2 linked regions of the Sus scrofa genome follow. The protein of the gene in region 1 purifies or fractionates together with the protein of each later gene. This does not show direct contact. Links are inferred from orthologs where the notes say so. Each region holds a gene or a part of one and is shown on either strand. Other genes may lie near its edges. The genes, in order: tumor necrosis factor receptor superfamily member 10B-like and CFLAR.

The links.
Region 2: the proteins of tumor necrosis factor receptor superfamily member 10B-like (region 1) and CFLAR purify together in Homo sapiens (affinity purification with western blotting; 5 studies listed by BioGRID and IntAct, with this or other methods). This does not show direct contact. The link is inferred for Sus scrofa from reciprocal best matches to the Homo sapiens genes TNFRSF10A and CFLAR.

What each region holds. Positions count from the first base shown.
Region 1 is NC_010456.5:7,357,385-7,361,196, reverse strand, and holds part of tumor necrosis factor receptor superfamily member 10B-like, read left to right. Parts: intron 1-2,532; coding exon 2,533-2,738; intron 2,739-3,812. UniProt on the Homo sapiens protein: Receptor for the cytotoxic ligand TNFSF10/TRAIL. The adapter molecule FADD recruits caspase-8 to the activated receptor.
Region 2 is NC_010457.5:104,823,738-104,827,549, reverse strand, and holds part of CFLAR (CASP8 and FADD-like apoptosis regulator), read right to left. Parts: intron 699-3,812; coding exon 188-698; intron 1-187. UniProt on the Homo sapiens protein: Apoptosis regulator protein which may function as a crucial link between cell survival and cell death pathways in mammalian cells. Acts as an inhibitor of TNFRSF6 mediated apoptosis.

The sequences.
Region 1 (3,812 bases):
GGTCCGTTACCGCGTGACTTTTGCCTTACATTTTCTTCTGATTTTAAAAGGATCCATGAGGTAAACACATCCTGAGATGACTGCCCATGAGCCGGGCCCTGTGTCATCCCACCCCTGGGTGTGGGCAGAATCTCTGACCTGCTTCACACCAAGAACACACTAAGGGGATAGGATGTCACTCCCTGACTGGGTCACATTCTGTGGCAGAGGGGCAGGATGCCACTCTCTTTCTCTCAGTTACACCCGCCCTCCACCATACCTCCAGTCAGATCTCGTCTCTCTCCACATACCGCCCATGTCACTTGCAGCGCCAGGGGGTGAGGTGAGGGGCACTCTCATCATACGCAGGATCATACGCTGGAAGATAAGCATCCTCCAGCTAGGCAACAGCGCGCAGGAGGACACCCCCAGCACCTACAGAGGCTCCTCCGATGCTCACCGCATGGCAGCCCCACGAGGGCCAGGGGTAGGGGCAGTGGGGGAACGCCGTTGTAGAAATATAAATGGCCCATTACTGCAGCCATCAGATAATACGCCAAGGTTCCTGTGAGAAATCTCTTTCTAACGTTGGGCTAGTGGGCTCTTGACTGTAGCTGAGGACCGGGAGGAATCTGTCCATGAAAATACGCCCCGAAGCGGTACCTGGGTGGCACACGAGGTCACCCAACTCAGTTACACCTGCCCCGGGAGAAGAAGGAACAGAGGCCACAACCACTGCTGTCCTCCCCTGTGGTTCGCTCTGGTAGTTTCACGCCTGCGGTTTCCTCTCTGTGTCCTTCCTCAAAATGGGAGAGTTCCACATCCAACTGGGCTTCTGAAAGCACAGTACCTTCCTTCACAGATGAGGTCCGAGAGCAGCCAGGTGGTACGTGACTGTCGTGTAAAGCCCATCGATGGGTGAACGGATAAAGCAATTGTGAGGTATATCATACATGTATTATATATGTATAATCACTATATATATCATATGTAACAATAAATACAATGCATATGATATGTCATATATCGCCTATATATATCACACAGACCATGGAACATCATTTCGCCATAAAAAGAGGGAAATCCTGCCATTTCACTGACGACATGGGGAGGCCTCGAGGGCATTATGCTGGTGAACTAAGTCAGGCAGAGAAAGACAATAAATATAATCCCTCTCATAGGTGAAAACTTAAAAAAAAAAAAATCAAGCTCACAGATATGGAGAACAGAGTCATGCCTGCCAGAAGTAGGGGGGAAGGGAGTTGGAGGAATGGATGAAGAGGGGCCAAAAGCAAAAAGAAAAGAAAACAGAACTGTATGTCACCTGCGAGTGAACAGGCTCAGAGACAGCGCCCTGACTGGGCTTTAGCCCCGGACTGGGGAGGATTTCTCTTGGCTGATGAGAAGGTTTCTCGCTTCCTCTTGGTTCTCAATGCCAGGGTAGGTGGTGAGGCTGGGGTTCCCGGAGACCTCCACCAGCCTGAGGCATCAGTCCATCCAACCTGCCTTGGATTCTCTCTGGCAGCTCCCCTCCATCGGACCACATTGACTCCCTGTCCCCTAGTCTGACTCTTACTAGAAGACCTGCCTCAAGCCACAGGGGTCAAGGGGCAGTGGGTAAATGTTTTAAATTTTTTTAATTCCAAAAAAAAAAAAAAAAAAAAAAAGCTTTCCTTAAGTCACAAAGGGATTCACTGGCTTAGGGGCAGTTAGAACCCAGAGCCCTCCAGTGGACATGTTGGCATTCTGGTCTACAATTTAAGAAAAGAAAAGAAAAGAAAAGAAAAAAAAAAAAATCAAAAGATCTGGTTGGGGGCGTGGCTATGGAGATGAGAGTGGGCAGAAGGCGGCCCTCAGAAGACAGGAGACTTATGAGCTGGTTGGGGGCGTGGCTATGGAGATGAGAGTGGGCAGAAGGCGGCCCTCAGAAGACAGGAGAGTTATGAGCTAGTGGGGCATTTGCGCTGGAAAGGGGCAGGGTCAGGACGCGCCCCCGGAAAGCAGATTTGGAATGTCACCTCAGCCCTGTGCCCACTTCCCAAAGGTGCAGACTGCCTTTTAATGAAAGCACGTCCCCAGGGCTTTGGCCGCCAGAGCCAGTAATTTCCGCTTTGGGCTGCAGGGTCGCTCTGAGGGACTCCGGGCCCCTCTCCTGATGTGACTAGTTAGAGGTGGTTAATGTTGTTTGTTTGTTTGTCTGCTTCCACGGCCTATGGAGGTTCCCAGGCTAGGGGTTGAATCGGAGCTGTAGCCTCCAGCCTACGCCAGAGGCACAGCCACGCGGGATCCGAGCCGCGTCTGAGACCTACACCGCAGCTCACGGCAACGCGGGATCGTTACCCCAGCGATCAAGGGCAGGGACCGAACCCGCAACCTCCTGGTTCCTCGTCGGATTCGTTAACCACTGCGCCACGACGGGGACTCCTAGAGGTGGTTCATGTTAACCGCACCGCTAGCGCCGGCTCACGCGCCCGCGCAAATGGCGCAATCTCGGCGTATAAAAGTAAGGGCAGGCTGTGTGATTAGACCATAACGTCCTGCCCGCGCACCCAGGAGGCAGCAAGTACGATCCGGCGCTGCAGGAAAGACGCTGTGGACTCCCGATGGCTCTACCGGCCGTCTGCCCGCATCGCGATCGAACGAGGAACTGGGGACCGAGCGCACCCACCGCCTCGGGCGCTCCGGCAGGGCGCGCCGCCAGCCCCCAGCCTTCGCGCCAGGACCTCAGGGCTCCCATCGTCGTGGTGTTGGTGCTGTCGGTGAGTCTCCGCTCGCGAAGTCGCGCTGGTTCGCCGGCCGGAGGGGGGGCGGGGCGGGGCACTAGTGAGTGACAGATCGCACTTCCTTTCGTTTCCCCTTCCCTCTCTCGGATCCTCCTCACTCGTTCTCTCTCAATCTTGCTCTCTCTGGGTTTAAATTCTAAAACGTGCCCTTTTTAAATAGATGAACTAGGGCGGTCCCTGGCCCCTCCCCCACCGTGGCCTTACGCTCCGTCGTAATATCCTTTACCCTGCAAGGATCGTCCAAGTTGGAAACGATCTTTAAAGTTACTTGCTGCTTGCGGCAATGTATGAGTGCTGTGTAGAAACCATAAATCGTCTCACGACCCGGACCAGATGCTCACCACTTCCTCTAGGAGGTGGTTTGGAGGCTCCGTGTAGGATTTATCACTGTTGGTGTTCATCCTCAAGATACTTACTATGGGAAGAAATCTGCACACTTCCATTTTCTCAGGTTGTGGCTTTTTTTTTTTTTTTTTCTTTTTCTTTTCTTTTTCTTTCTTTCTTCCTTCCTTCCTTCCTTCCTTCCTTCCTTTCTTTCTTCCTTCCTTCCTTCCTTCCTTACTTCCTTTCTTCCTTCCTGTCTTTCTTCTTTCTTACTTTCTTTTTTTTCTTTTCTTTTTTTTTTCTTTTTTTTGGCCTCCCCGTGGCGTATGGGGTTCCCGGGCCTGGGATCAGATCCCAGGCGCAACTGCAAACCACGCCGCAGTTGCAGTAACGCGGGATCTTCAAGCCACTGTGTCCGGGAAGGATCCCGCGAACCCGAGTCCCAAGACGCAGGGGATCCCGCTTTGCCACGGTGGGAACTCCTTGAGGTGCTTTTCGAAGTTTCTTGCATGTTTAAAAAAAAAAAAAAAAAAGGGCCAAACAGGGTTATAGGAATCATGAAAATGTCTGTTTTCATTGAGCAAATTACTGCTAAAATCAGAAAAGAAAGAACATTTTGAACTCACAGAGAAAATACAGACGTATTTATTTTTTAAATTTATTTTGAAGCGATTTGTACTTTTTGCCATTATAGTAGTGTTCTGTCAGTTATCTACTGTAAAGTGA
Region 2 (3,812 bases), on another chromosome or scaffold:
CCCACTGAGCAAGGGCAGGGACCGAACCCGAAACCTCATGGTTCCTAGTCGGATTCGTTAACCACTGCGCCACGACGGGAACTCCTTTTTTGTCTTTTTTTTTTTTTTTTTTTTTTTTGGCACCTCCATCTTGGCAGCAGAATGCAGACAACTGGTGACAGGATCCGCCACAGCTTGGGTGGCTCACCTTTCTTTTCCCAGCTTCTGGGAGAGGCACTGCAGGTACACTGACGATGAGCTGGAGGGCCGCTCCAACAGGGACACATCGGCTTTGCACAGGCTCCAGAAGAAGTCAGCTTCTCGGTGAACTGTGCAGGTCCCTGGCTGCCTAGCCTTGGAATCCATACTTTTCACTGATGGCCCGTCCACCTCCAGGAAGCTGCTGTCCTCCAGCTGGCCCTCTGATGTCACATAGATCTGAATAAAAAAGAGCTTTGGCTTCCCTAAGAGAGTAGGGCATACATCTGCCATGAACATCCTTCGGATATGATCCAAAGGGAACCCGGAGAGAGTCTTATCCACGCCAAACACGCTCTGGGAGCCCCCTCGGCTCACAAGGACACACACGAAACTGTCGTAGTCTTGGTGTTGGGGCATACGGGCAACTTTGCGAAGAATCTTGCTTATTTGCTCCACTTTCAGATACAAGAAATACTGTACTTCATAGCCCAGGGAACTGAAGGTGTCCCGAAGAACATCTGGAAAAAACAAACAAACGTGAAAAACAACATAGGGGCAAGAAAAGCTCCAGAAACACTGGGCGGCAATCCTAAACATGGTCTAATCTCTGCTACTTGTCTGTTTCCGATTTTGTGTCCTATTTTGAGGCACCGAAGTCCCTGAGAATGGGGCAGCCTGAAGCATGAGGTAAGTGACAGGTCCTCAGTTAGGGTCTGTCCTTCGTTCCATGGCTTTTCCTTCCCAAGGGCACTGCCACATCTGGGCATGGGCATAGACTGAGCCCACCTCTAGTCTAAATGAATCAAGAGAGAAAAAAAAAAAAAAAAGACTTTTTCCTCTTCAACCAAAACAAAGCTGGGATTGTGCAAAAAGTTCTTTCTTAAAATCACTCACAAGCTCATAGGAATGGGTGCATTTGCAGAGTGCAGGTCCAAACCCAGATCCAATGGCTGCAGAGAGGAGAGGCCCAGGTCATGAGTTCTCTCACCTCCACCTGCTATGGGCTGATCCAGAGGTGCCTGGATTTAAGTTGGAACCATCCCCAAACCCCTCAGCTCTTCTCATGAACCACTTCCCAGTGTAGCTTTTGACAGAACTGGGGCGGGGGGAGGGTGGCATGGCCAAGACATGACCTAAAGTGCCCCCAAAGATTTTTCTCCTATCTTCCGGGAATTCAGGTTAATTTTGCCTCGAGAAGCAGTGTAAGGGAGTGGAAAAAGCAGACAAGCCTGCCTCCTAGCACTGACCTCACCACACCTATGGGCTGCATGGCTTTAAGGAAGTAGGTCTCACTAGTTTGGGGTTTTTTTTTTTTTTGCTTTTTTTAGGGCTGCACCCACAGCATATGGAGGTTCCCAGGCTAGGGGTCCAATTGGAGCTACAGCCGCCCACCTACACCACAGCCACAGCAACTCGGGATCCAAGCCACGTCTGCGACCTATACCATAGCTCACAGCAACACCGGATCCTTAAACCACTGAGCAAAGCCAGGGATTGAACCCACAACCTCATGGTTCCTAGCTAGATTCATTTCTGCTGCACCAGGATGGGAACTCCTCTCCATAGCTTTAAGTGGAAGTGAAGATAGCCACCCTATGAGGATGCTGTGAGTATTAAATTAGTGTAATACAATACATCTCCTGGTGCTCAATAAGAAAGAGTCCCTGCTGCTCTTTAAAAAATTCTTTTTGTCCATCTTCTAGAAGTTTCTACGGTCCTGAGACGAAAGAAACCCCACCCAAACTACTTAGTTCCCATCTGCTCAGGTTGCCCTCATTGGAGAAGTAAACACAGAAATATTTCATCTTTCTAGTAGCAAAGAGAGACATCTTTCTCTTCCTCATTCAAAAAGTCCACATCCTTTTGAGCTCCCCAATAAGTTTCTATTCCTTGTCTGAGGGATGCCTCCAGTTCTCAATTCATTTTCAAGGCAGAAAAGCTGTTCTGGCCTAAGCCCAGAGGTAAAACAAGAATCTTCCCATTCAGGTTGTCACCCAAACAATTAGCCACTTCTCTGGATTTGTTTCCATGTGTCATGACTACGTACCCACTTCTCTTCCTCCCCTGAGGTATGGTCGTCCAGGAGTCTACCACTGCACTCACCCCAAACCCAACAACACAACAGTGTCCAGAGCAGAGATAACTTCCACCAAGGAACAGAGGGGCCCCACCTCATACCAGTTTGGGCGTCATACAAAGGGGTCAGGGGGAGATAAATAACTGAAGGTTATGACACATCACCCTTCACTACCGATTCTCAATTCTCCACACCAAATAAGAACAATATGAAGTATGGAGAGTCACAAATAATTCAGGATAATAACTTCAACCAATAGTTTCAACGTCTTGTCTTGCCAACTTTATCAGCGAGTATTACACTATAAAAGTGAAAGTAAGCAAATGTTATTTCTCTTCTGGCTTCTCAGCAGGAAACAGGAAAAAGATTAAAAGTTGGGAAAGAAACACAGCCTTGGGTTAACAACAAACTGGGAACTAAGCAGCCACTGGACAAACAAGAGCTGGCTCGAGTGCTCTTAATTCAATTTGGCCAGCCTATGGGCAGTATCTGGACACAATCACATACAGTCTCGTAGAACTTTCTACTCAGGAGGCTCACATCCTGCCAGATATGGCAGATTTAAATAAGTCTGTGACTCCTCGACCCTCCTTGCTTAAAAAGATAGTGTGTAATCCCCTCCCCTTGAACACAGGTAACTCGTTCCTAATGAATGGAGTGTGGCAGAAGGGCTACCACGTGACATTCAAAGTCAAATCACTAGGGGGAAGCCAGCTGCCATGTCTTGAGAACACTCCAGACAGGGCCCTGGTGCCAAACAGGTCCCCAGTGCCATGTGAAGAGGCCCACATGGAGAAGAACGCAAGCCACACACCAACTTCCCAGCCACTCGAGAAGCTCCTCCAATGCCAAGGACCCAAGCTGACATATGACAGCAACCTCTCAAGAGACTCAGGGCTGGGACAGCCTGGCTCCGTCACTTCTAAATTCCAGACCCCCAGAAGCTATGAGAGGTATAAATAAATTAGTATCGTTGTTTTAAGCTATAACATTTTGGAGCAATTTGTACACATTATGAGATAAATAATTCACTAGGTAAGTCAGCAAAAGGGAATGATAATAACCATTACCTAAGAATGGAGTGTAATTAAGCAACTTACTTTTCTCCTTCCGCCTGACCCGCAAGTAAGGTAGGGGTGAAGAAAATGAATTAAATTCATTTTTTGAAATATATATATATCAAGTAATAATAAGATACAAGCCCCCAAGAGATATAAAGAAGTTGCCAATCTCCTTAAAACCTTACAATAACTAAGTATGTTCAAGGAATGACAGTTGCTGAAAACCTATTAAGTACCTCACTTGTCAGCATAGGAGCTCAGAGTGCTAGGAGAGGTGAAGAAGCACTGCCCCCTAGGCACGGCCTCTGAGGGTGTAGGTAAGGCTTGAGATCCAGTTCTGAGCTGGGGATGACACACAGGGCTGTACCATGTACCAGGTACCAGGACAGAGCCTGGACAGGACTCAGGGGCCATCCCCACTGCTTTATTCCAAACGCTCCCTTCCGGAGTGGCACTCTCTAGTCATGGAGCACTCTCTCCTCCAGGGGGCAGAA